Macaca fascicularis: one gene and its partner. The protein of the gene in region 1 purifies or fractionates together with the protein of each later gene. This does not show direct contact. Links are inferred from orthologs where the notes say so. Each region holds a gene or a part of one and is shown in the gene's direction. Other genes may lie near its edges.

Region 1 (4,075 bases):
TAGATCTCCCAGCAATGTAAAAGTGTCTTTTGCAAGTCAGGAGTCCTGGTTTCAAGCTTCTAACTTCTTGATAAATCCATCACCTGCATTCTGACAATGGCTATACGTTCAAGACTATGTTTATCATACACTCTTATTTTTGCCTCCAGGATTTTAGTTAGAAGCTCAGGTTCTGGGGCTAGACTGTTTGGGTTTGGATCCTCGCACTGCCACTTACTAGCTTGTGAAATTCCAAAACGTTACTTAATATCTCTGTGCCTCAGGTGTTCTCATCTGTAAAATGGCTGTAAGTAATGTTAAGATTAAAATAATTAGTTCATGAAGAGTGCTTATAACAGTATCTGACACATTATGAAAGCTCAGTATTTATTATTGTTATTTTTACTACCACTAGCATCAATATGTGTATTAATAATATGTGGCTCTTCTCACAGCACACTATACACCCCCAGGACTGTTTGTATTCTGATTTGGCTCAGAAGAGCAGTCCTTTTTCTGAATGGACTGTTGACCAGATGTAGAAGGAAGGCAGAGAGAGAAAGGAATGAAAGGGAAACGGAATACTTTGTCTCCGAATTATCTTTAAGTAAATGAAGGAATTGGGGCTATAAAAAAATTGCCGGAGCATACATGTATAAAGGTTCACGGCATGCCGAAAGAGAAAGTAAAAGGAGCATTCACAATGGAGTTGGCATCCTTTTGCTTCAAAGTGAGAAAAATCACACGATCAGCTGCAATTAAGACTTAAGGAAAAAGGCTGTCTGTTAATTCAATCTCATTCGCAGGACAGGCCTCCAGGACACTTCATCTTCCCCCCTGGGTGGAGCCCTTGCCGGCCGGGGGCTCCACGGAGAGGAATAGGAGGCGGCTCGGGCTTCCCGGCTCGTGTGGGCGCCAGAAAGCGGAACCGCCCTGGCCAGTCGCGCGGTGGTCACCCTCTCGGGAGCTGGGGAGGAGGCTGGCGAGGCTGGCCCGGCTCCTTCGGGCGCCGCTCCCCGGACCGGGTGCGAGGCGTCCTCCTGAGCGTCTGTTCCGGGTCCTCCCGCGCCCGTGTTCGCAGTCCCCGCCTGCCGGGTCGCGGCGCCGCCTCGGGCGCGGGTGCAGGCGCGCGGCGCGCAGGCGGGGGGCGCTGTGGCCTTGGCGCTGGGACCGAGCCGCCCGGCCGGACCCGCCTCTTTTCCCTCCCCGCCCGCCCGCCCCCCACGCGTCGTGTCGCCGGGAAGCCGGGCGGAGACAGAGCGCTTGGGATCCACGGCGCTCGGACCGCTGTCCTCCAATCGCGTGGGGCAGAGCGGCTGGCGCTGCCGGAGCGCGGAGCCACGACCCTCCCCGGCCGCCTTTGTCTGCTAGCCGTGCAGCCTGGAACCGCCACTCTCCGGGGCCGGGGACGCGCCCGCAGCTGTCGGTGACAGCTCCTCCCTACCGCCACCCTCCGGGGCGAAGGGGCGGTCGGGCCCGGCCCTGCTCGCCCGCGCCGGCAAGCCCGCAAGCCCGCGCTCGCGGATCGATGCCCCCGCAGCAGGGGGACCCCGCGTTCCCCGACCGCTGCGAGGCGCCTCCGGTGCCGCCGCGTCGGGAGCGCGGGGGACGCGGGGGACGCGGGCCTGGGGAGCCGGGGGGCCGAGGGCGCGCGGGGGGTGCCGAGGGGCGCGGCGTCAAGTGCGTGCTGGTCGGCGACGGTGCGGTGGGCAAAACGAGCCTGGTGGTGAGCTACACCACCAACGGCTACCCCACCGAGTACATCCCCACTGCCTTCGACAACTTCTCCGGTGAGCGGGCCCGGGGGCCGGGGCCGGGGGCGCGTGACCGCGGTCCGTCCAGGGGAAGGAGGGTGGCGCGAGGGTCGCGGGGCTCCCAAGGGGGCTGCAGGGCCCCGGGCGCGGCTCCAGCGGGGAAGCCGGACAAATGAGGCGAGTAGGACGTTTCCTAAGTGTCAGGGACTGGGCAAGCATGGAGCTAACAGGAAAGGACCACGGGGGAATGGGGAGCCCTAAAACCAGAGCTTGGAGAGAGGGGGGCTGAGCGGCAGTCAGAGCCGTTGCCAAAAAAAAAAAAAAAAAAAAAAAAAAATCTCACAATTCTCACAATTTAAGCAACAGATAAGCAGGAGTGAAACAGGTTGAGTTCTGGCTGCCGGGTCAGTTTGCTGCGTAGAGCAAAGTTTCCTGAGGGCGACGTCGCTGGCGCCGCTGCAGTTTCAATCAGAAGGTGACGCGCAGGTGCCTTTACCTGAGCCTCGCTCCTTTGCTTTTAGGCGGCTTAGCTCTCAAGGGGCGTGCCGCGGAGACGCCGGGAAAACACTTGATTTAGTGAAAATAGCGCGAGCGGCCCTCGTGAAGGCTTAGGTTTGGATGAAACCTGGAAAGTAAACACCATTTCTCTCTTCTGAGCCCCACCACCTTCCCTGCCCACATGGGCTCAGATTCTGATTGTTGGTATCCTTTCAGGATCCCTTTAAGCTACTTAAAGCTCTTATGTACCGGGTGCGATGTCATTTGCCTTGGTAGATACAAAGATAAAGGAATTCTCTATCTCGATATTCAGGTCTTTTTGAAATTTAAGAAAAAGTTGAAATTCACAGAGGCTAGTAGGAAACATTTAACTGTTTCGCTTCTTAAGAGAAAAGGTTGCTTCTCTGACCTTCCTTTCATCCCAAAGGCACCCTAGAAAAATGGGTGCTGTACTGATGGGTTCCCACCGCAGAGGATTGTGTCTTCCCCTCCCCCACCCCACCCCACCCCTGCTGCTGACTAGTATAAACATTGAGAGACAATTAGAAAGTTGTGTAGAAAGAGACAAAATTGACTGCTTAGTTAAAATAGAAACCTCCGCGACATGTCCTGCTGCAGGCCTCTCCACACTCCCTGAGTCCCCAAATCCCAGTGGAAAGGTGGGCATGGCTTTCTCTTTTCTTTTTTAATCCTCCTTTTGGCCTGACATAGAGATAAAGAGTGCCCTCACTTTTAAACAGCACAATGCGGGCAGCCTGTGTTTGCACATGTTCTCAAAACAAACTGGAATTTTATGATAAACCCTGAAGTTGGGGAACCTTTCCCAAGGGAAAACAGAATCATTTGTGAGGTTTTCCACTGATTTAAAACTGCAGGGTTACTTCCCATTTACCCCCAGTGTTGTTTTTAGGTCCTTTGAAACAAGTGTGACAGGAAAATAAATCTTCCAGGACTGAGAGAAAAGCATAGGCCTTTCTGGGGGCACCATCAAAGGGTTCAGGGATTTGCTGCCTGGTTCGTGGAGTGACTTGCCAGCGCTGGGTTTGTATACAAAAATGCCTCCACAGGGCCTCCTTGTTTTAGGCTAGTCCTTAATTCATTAGAGGACCTAGAATGGGAGCAGAGGTGTTTGGAGTGAGAATGATGGTGAAAGCTAAAACTATTTAGTATTCCAAAAGGAGTTAAAAGACACCTCCTGATTGCCATTTTGGTTTTGTTTTTAGCGGTGGTGTCTGTGGATGGGCGGCCCGTGAGACTCCAACTCTGTGACACTGCCGGACAGGTCAGTATCATGTTACAGCTCAGTGCTGGGAAAGGAAACAGCCTTTTAAAGATTTCCAAATAACCTTTGATTCCCCCAGTCAGTAACTAGGTCATTCGAAAGCCTCATGAAGTGGACCCACCCCTGCTGTTGGCCCCTCTCTGAGGGTGGGCAGGGGCCAGGGGTTGGCGGGCAGGAAGCAGAGGAAGATACCTCCAAACTAATAAAGCAGGATTTGGCCCAGCTCTGCATAGCCAGGCAAGGGAGGAAGCACGGTCAAGAACAGCTCTTATCTTATAGGAGTTTCTATTATTTACTCCCTGGTTTTTATGAAAAAGTTTCAGTGATGCTTTGTCGTCATTTCCCAAACTAAGTTAGTGATATCTTATAATCGTTTTATTAAAGGCCAGTGAGTCAGATATTTAAGAAATTTGTTCAAGAAAAAGATGGAATTACATCAGTAAGAGTTAATAGTTCCCTTCCTGAGCTATGGTTTGACTCGCTAGGACCAGCCCCATCCCTTGAAGCACAGATACATTTGTCAGAGCAGTCCTAAGCTGGAGGGATGAACTAACTGGGCTTA
Region 2 (3,500 bases), on another chromosome or scaffold:
GCTTAGTCATAGGTGACTGGGGTTTAAATCAAGGACTCGTGCCCAAGAAATAAGGCAAGGACCTCGTTGCCATATTTGAGAATATGAGAATGGTTTTTCAAGAACAAAGCAAAACTGGGACAAGCAATCGAGACCAAAATGGGCAGCTTGGACTTTAACACTAAGTCCCCTGGTTTAAGGAGAGATAGGAGGCCAGAGATGGTGTTTCTTATATTCCTCCTATTTCTCTTCAGGGTTCAATAGGAAATAGGCTAGGAGCTAGACATGAAGGTGGCAGTCAAGTGACTTTGGAGAGACAAAGGATAGCAGAGCTGGAAGCCAGGCAGATCTTGTCACCTACGTGTAGGCACACAGTCAACACTTACTGAAGTGAGTGTATATCCTAAATGTATGTTCTTTCTCTTATTTTTCTTTTCTAGCTGATTTTGGATTCTGTGCACAGATAACCCCAGAGCAGAGCAAACGGAGCACCATGGTGGGAACCCCATACTGGATGGCACCAGAGGTTGTGACACGAAAGGCCTATGGGCCCAAGGTTGACATCTGGTCCCTGGGCATCATGGCCATCGAAATGATTGAAGGGGAGCCTCCATACCTCAATGAAAACCCTCTGAGAGTGAGTGTTACCATTCCTATTTCAATTTATTTGGGCTGTTGTCTCTAGTCCCAGGAAATAAGAATCCAGGCTATTCTCTATGGCTTTCAACCTGGAGATCCCTTTTCTGGATACAACTAGTCACTGTTGAACTTAAAATATAAATGGTCAAAGAAAAGGAATATTAGAAGTCACTCATTCATTTATTCAACAACTATCTGAGTCCCTTTCAAGTGCAAGAAACTATTCTAATGAAAATAAAATAAATTAATATGTAGTAACAGATGGTAAATGCTGTGAGAAAAAGCAAAGTAAGGAAGTTAAGAGAGTAATGGAGGAAGAGGTGTGCTATTTTAGAGCAGAGAGGGAAGTTCTCTCTCGTAAGTTATTTTATTCTGCAGAGTTGGGAAGTCATTAGAGGGTTTTGAGCTGAGGAGTAATGTGATCTGATTTATGTTTTAAACAGATCATTTTGGCCGCTTTTATGGAAAATAGATTGCGAGAGACTGTTGTAATAGTTCAGAGTGGTGGTGTCTTGGTAGGAGTGGAAGTGAGAAGTGCTCAGACTCAGGAAATGTCTTGAAGGACTAGCTGACAGGATGAACTGAATATTAGAGAAAGAGGAATCAGCAATTACTACACGATTTTTGGTCTGAATTGCTGAAAAAATTCAGTTGCCATCTGTTGAAATGGTGAAGACCATACTTAAGTTGGGTAATTAAGAGTTGGTTTTGAATGTGCTGATTTGAAGTGTTAATTAGACATTTAAGTGGAGCTGGGAGTAGAGTTTGGCTTAAGAGTCTAGAGTTCAAGGGTGAGGGGTCAGGACAATAATCATAAATTTATTAGTAGATAATATATAGTTGGTATTTAAAATCAGAGGTAGATGAGATCACTCACCTAGAGAATGAGTACTGTTAAAGAAAAGAGATTTGAGTACTGAGCTCTAGGTTATTCCACTGTTTACAGGTTGGAGGAACTAGCAAAGTAGACCAAGGAATGGCCTTTCTAGTGTGAGAGAACAGAGAAGTATCTTGGAGGTGAAGTGTCCTGGAGATGAATAGAACAGTGTGCTTCCTGAAGGAGGAGGAGGGTAGATTATGTGTCAAATGTGATTGATAGGTTAAGATGAAACTGAGAAATGAACATTGGATTTGCCAATGTAGAGGTTCTTAATGACCTTAACAATCAGTTGTCAGTAGAGAGATGGGGATGAAAGTCTAATTAAATTCATGAAAGTGGAAGAAGAGGACGTTGAGATGGCATGTATAAACAGGTTTTTTTTCTCTTAAAGGAATTTTGCTGGGAAGGGTAACAAAAATGGAACACTCTCTTAAAATGGAGTCAAGGGAGGGTTTTTCTAAAAGATGTCTGTGTGCTAATGGGAATGATTTAGTGGAGAGGAGGAAAATGGTCATGTACAAAAAGGAAGTGACAACATAGAAGTGATATCCTTAAGTCGATGAGAGGGGTTCGATCAAGTACTGAAGTAAAGGACATTAGATTAGCATGGACAATTTATCCCTTGTAACAGAGCATATCAACACAGATGCAAATAGGTTGGTAATCTTTGTGTGGGCAAATGTGAAATTTATTCTGATTGCTTTTATTTTCTCATTTATTCCCACCTCCCATCTAGTGCAGGAGTTCCCTGTGCACTGTTGCTGGTAGGTGGTCATCTACATGCTCATGTCATCCTTGGATATCTCTGATTATTGGAAATTGCTTCAGTGCACCAAACTGAAACTACCTTCTGTAGTTTCTATTCTTTGGTCCCAGCTTTGCCTCTGACTCCACATGCAACATATTCTTCCCTGCCTTAGAATGGCCTTGCAGAGATTTGAAGATAATAATTGCTGGGATATGTTGGAAACAAGACAGAGTGATCCTAGACACACACACACACACACACATATTTTTTTTTTGAGACAGAGTCTCACTCTGTCACCCAGGCTAGAGTGCAATGGTGTGATTTCAGCTCACTGCAACTTCCACCTTCCAGGCTCAAGCGATTATCCTGCCTCAGCCTCCTGAGTAGCTGGGATTACAGGCATCTTCCACCATGCCCAGCTAAGTTTTGTACTTTTAGTAGAGACCAGATTTCGCCATATTGATCAGGTTGGTCTTGATGGTCTCGAACTTCTGACCTCAGGTGATCCACCCACCTCAGCCTCCCAAAGTGCTGGGATTACAGGAGTGAGCCACCACGCCCGGCCCTAGACATATCTTTTTATGTTTCTGTACCTTATTTGTGAAGTGAGGATGATAATTCTTGCCCAGAGTTAATTGTGGCCATTAAATTAGTGCTTATGTAAGTACTCTTTGAATTAAGTGCTGACTGATTGTAAAGATTTGGTCTTACTGTGTTTTTCTTTACCTTTCCCAGGAGATGCTTCATTTAGGGGACCAAGGTGGCAACAGTTTTCACTTATATTTAATATTCCTTTCCTGCTAGAAGAGATCAGTTCTTGGATGACTGAGGTGAAGGCACCAGGAATAATTTCTGCCAGTAGCTGGGCAGATGTTTCAACAGGCTAAATGGATAATAAACCCTTCAGATGTGTAAGCAAGAATAATAATAAAGCCGGGCATAGTGGCTCACATCTGTAATCCCAGTACTTTGGGAGGTTGAGGCAGGCGGATCACTTGAGTCTAGGAGTTCGAGACCAGCCTGGCCAACATGGTGAAACCCTGTCTCTACTAAAAATACAAAAAGTAGCCGAGTGTAGTGGTGGGCACCTGTAATCCCAGCTACTTGCGAGGCTGAGGCAGGAGAATCGCTTGAAGCCTGGAGGTTACAGTGAGCCAAGATCTTACCACTACACTCCAGCCTGGGCGACAGAGCGAGACTCTGTCTCAAAAAAAAAAAATAATAATAATAATAATAATAATAAACCCTTAGGTC

What was found.
Region 2: the proteins of RHOU (region 1) and PAK1 purify together in Homo sapiens (co-immunoprecipitation; 5 studies listed by BioGRID and IntAct, with this or other methods). This does not show direct contact. The link is inferred for Macaca fascicularis from reciprocal best matches to the Homo sapiens genes RHOU and PAK1.

What each region holds. Positions count from the first base shown.
Region 1 is NC_088375.1:20,340,868-20,344,942, reverse strand, and holds the start of RHOU (rho-related GTP-binding protein RhoU), read left to right. Parts: upstream 1-1,275; 5' UTR 1,276-1,507; coding exon 1,508-1,769; intron 1,770-3,454; coding exon 3,455-3,513; intron 3,514-4,075. UniProt on the Homo sapiens protein: Binds to and activates protein kinase PAK1. Plays a role in the regulation of cell morphology, cytoskeletal organization and focal adhesion assembly during cell migration. Also stimulates quiescent cells to reenter the cell cycle.
Region 2 is NC_088388.1:76,217,696-76,221,195, reverse strand, and holds part of PAK1 (serine/threonine-protein kinase PAK 1), read left to right. Parts: intron 1-419; coding exon 420-616; intron 617-3,500. UniProt on the Homo sapiens protein: Protein kinase involved in intracellular signaling pathways downstream of integrins and receptor-type kinases that plays an important role in cytoskeleton dynamics, in cell adhesion, migration, proliferation, apoptosis, mitosis, and in vesicle-mediated transport processes.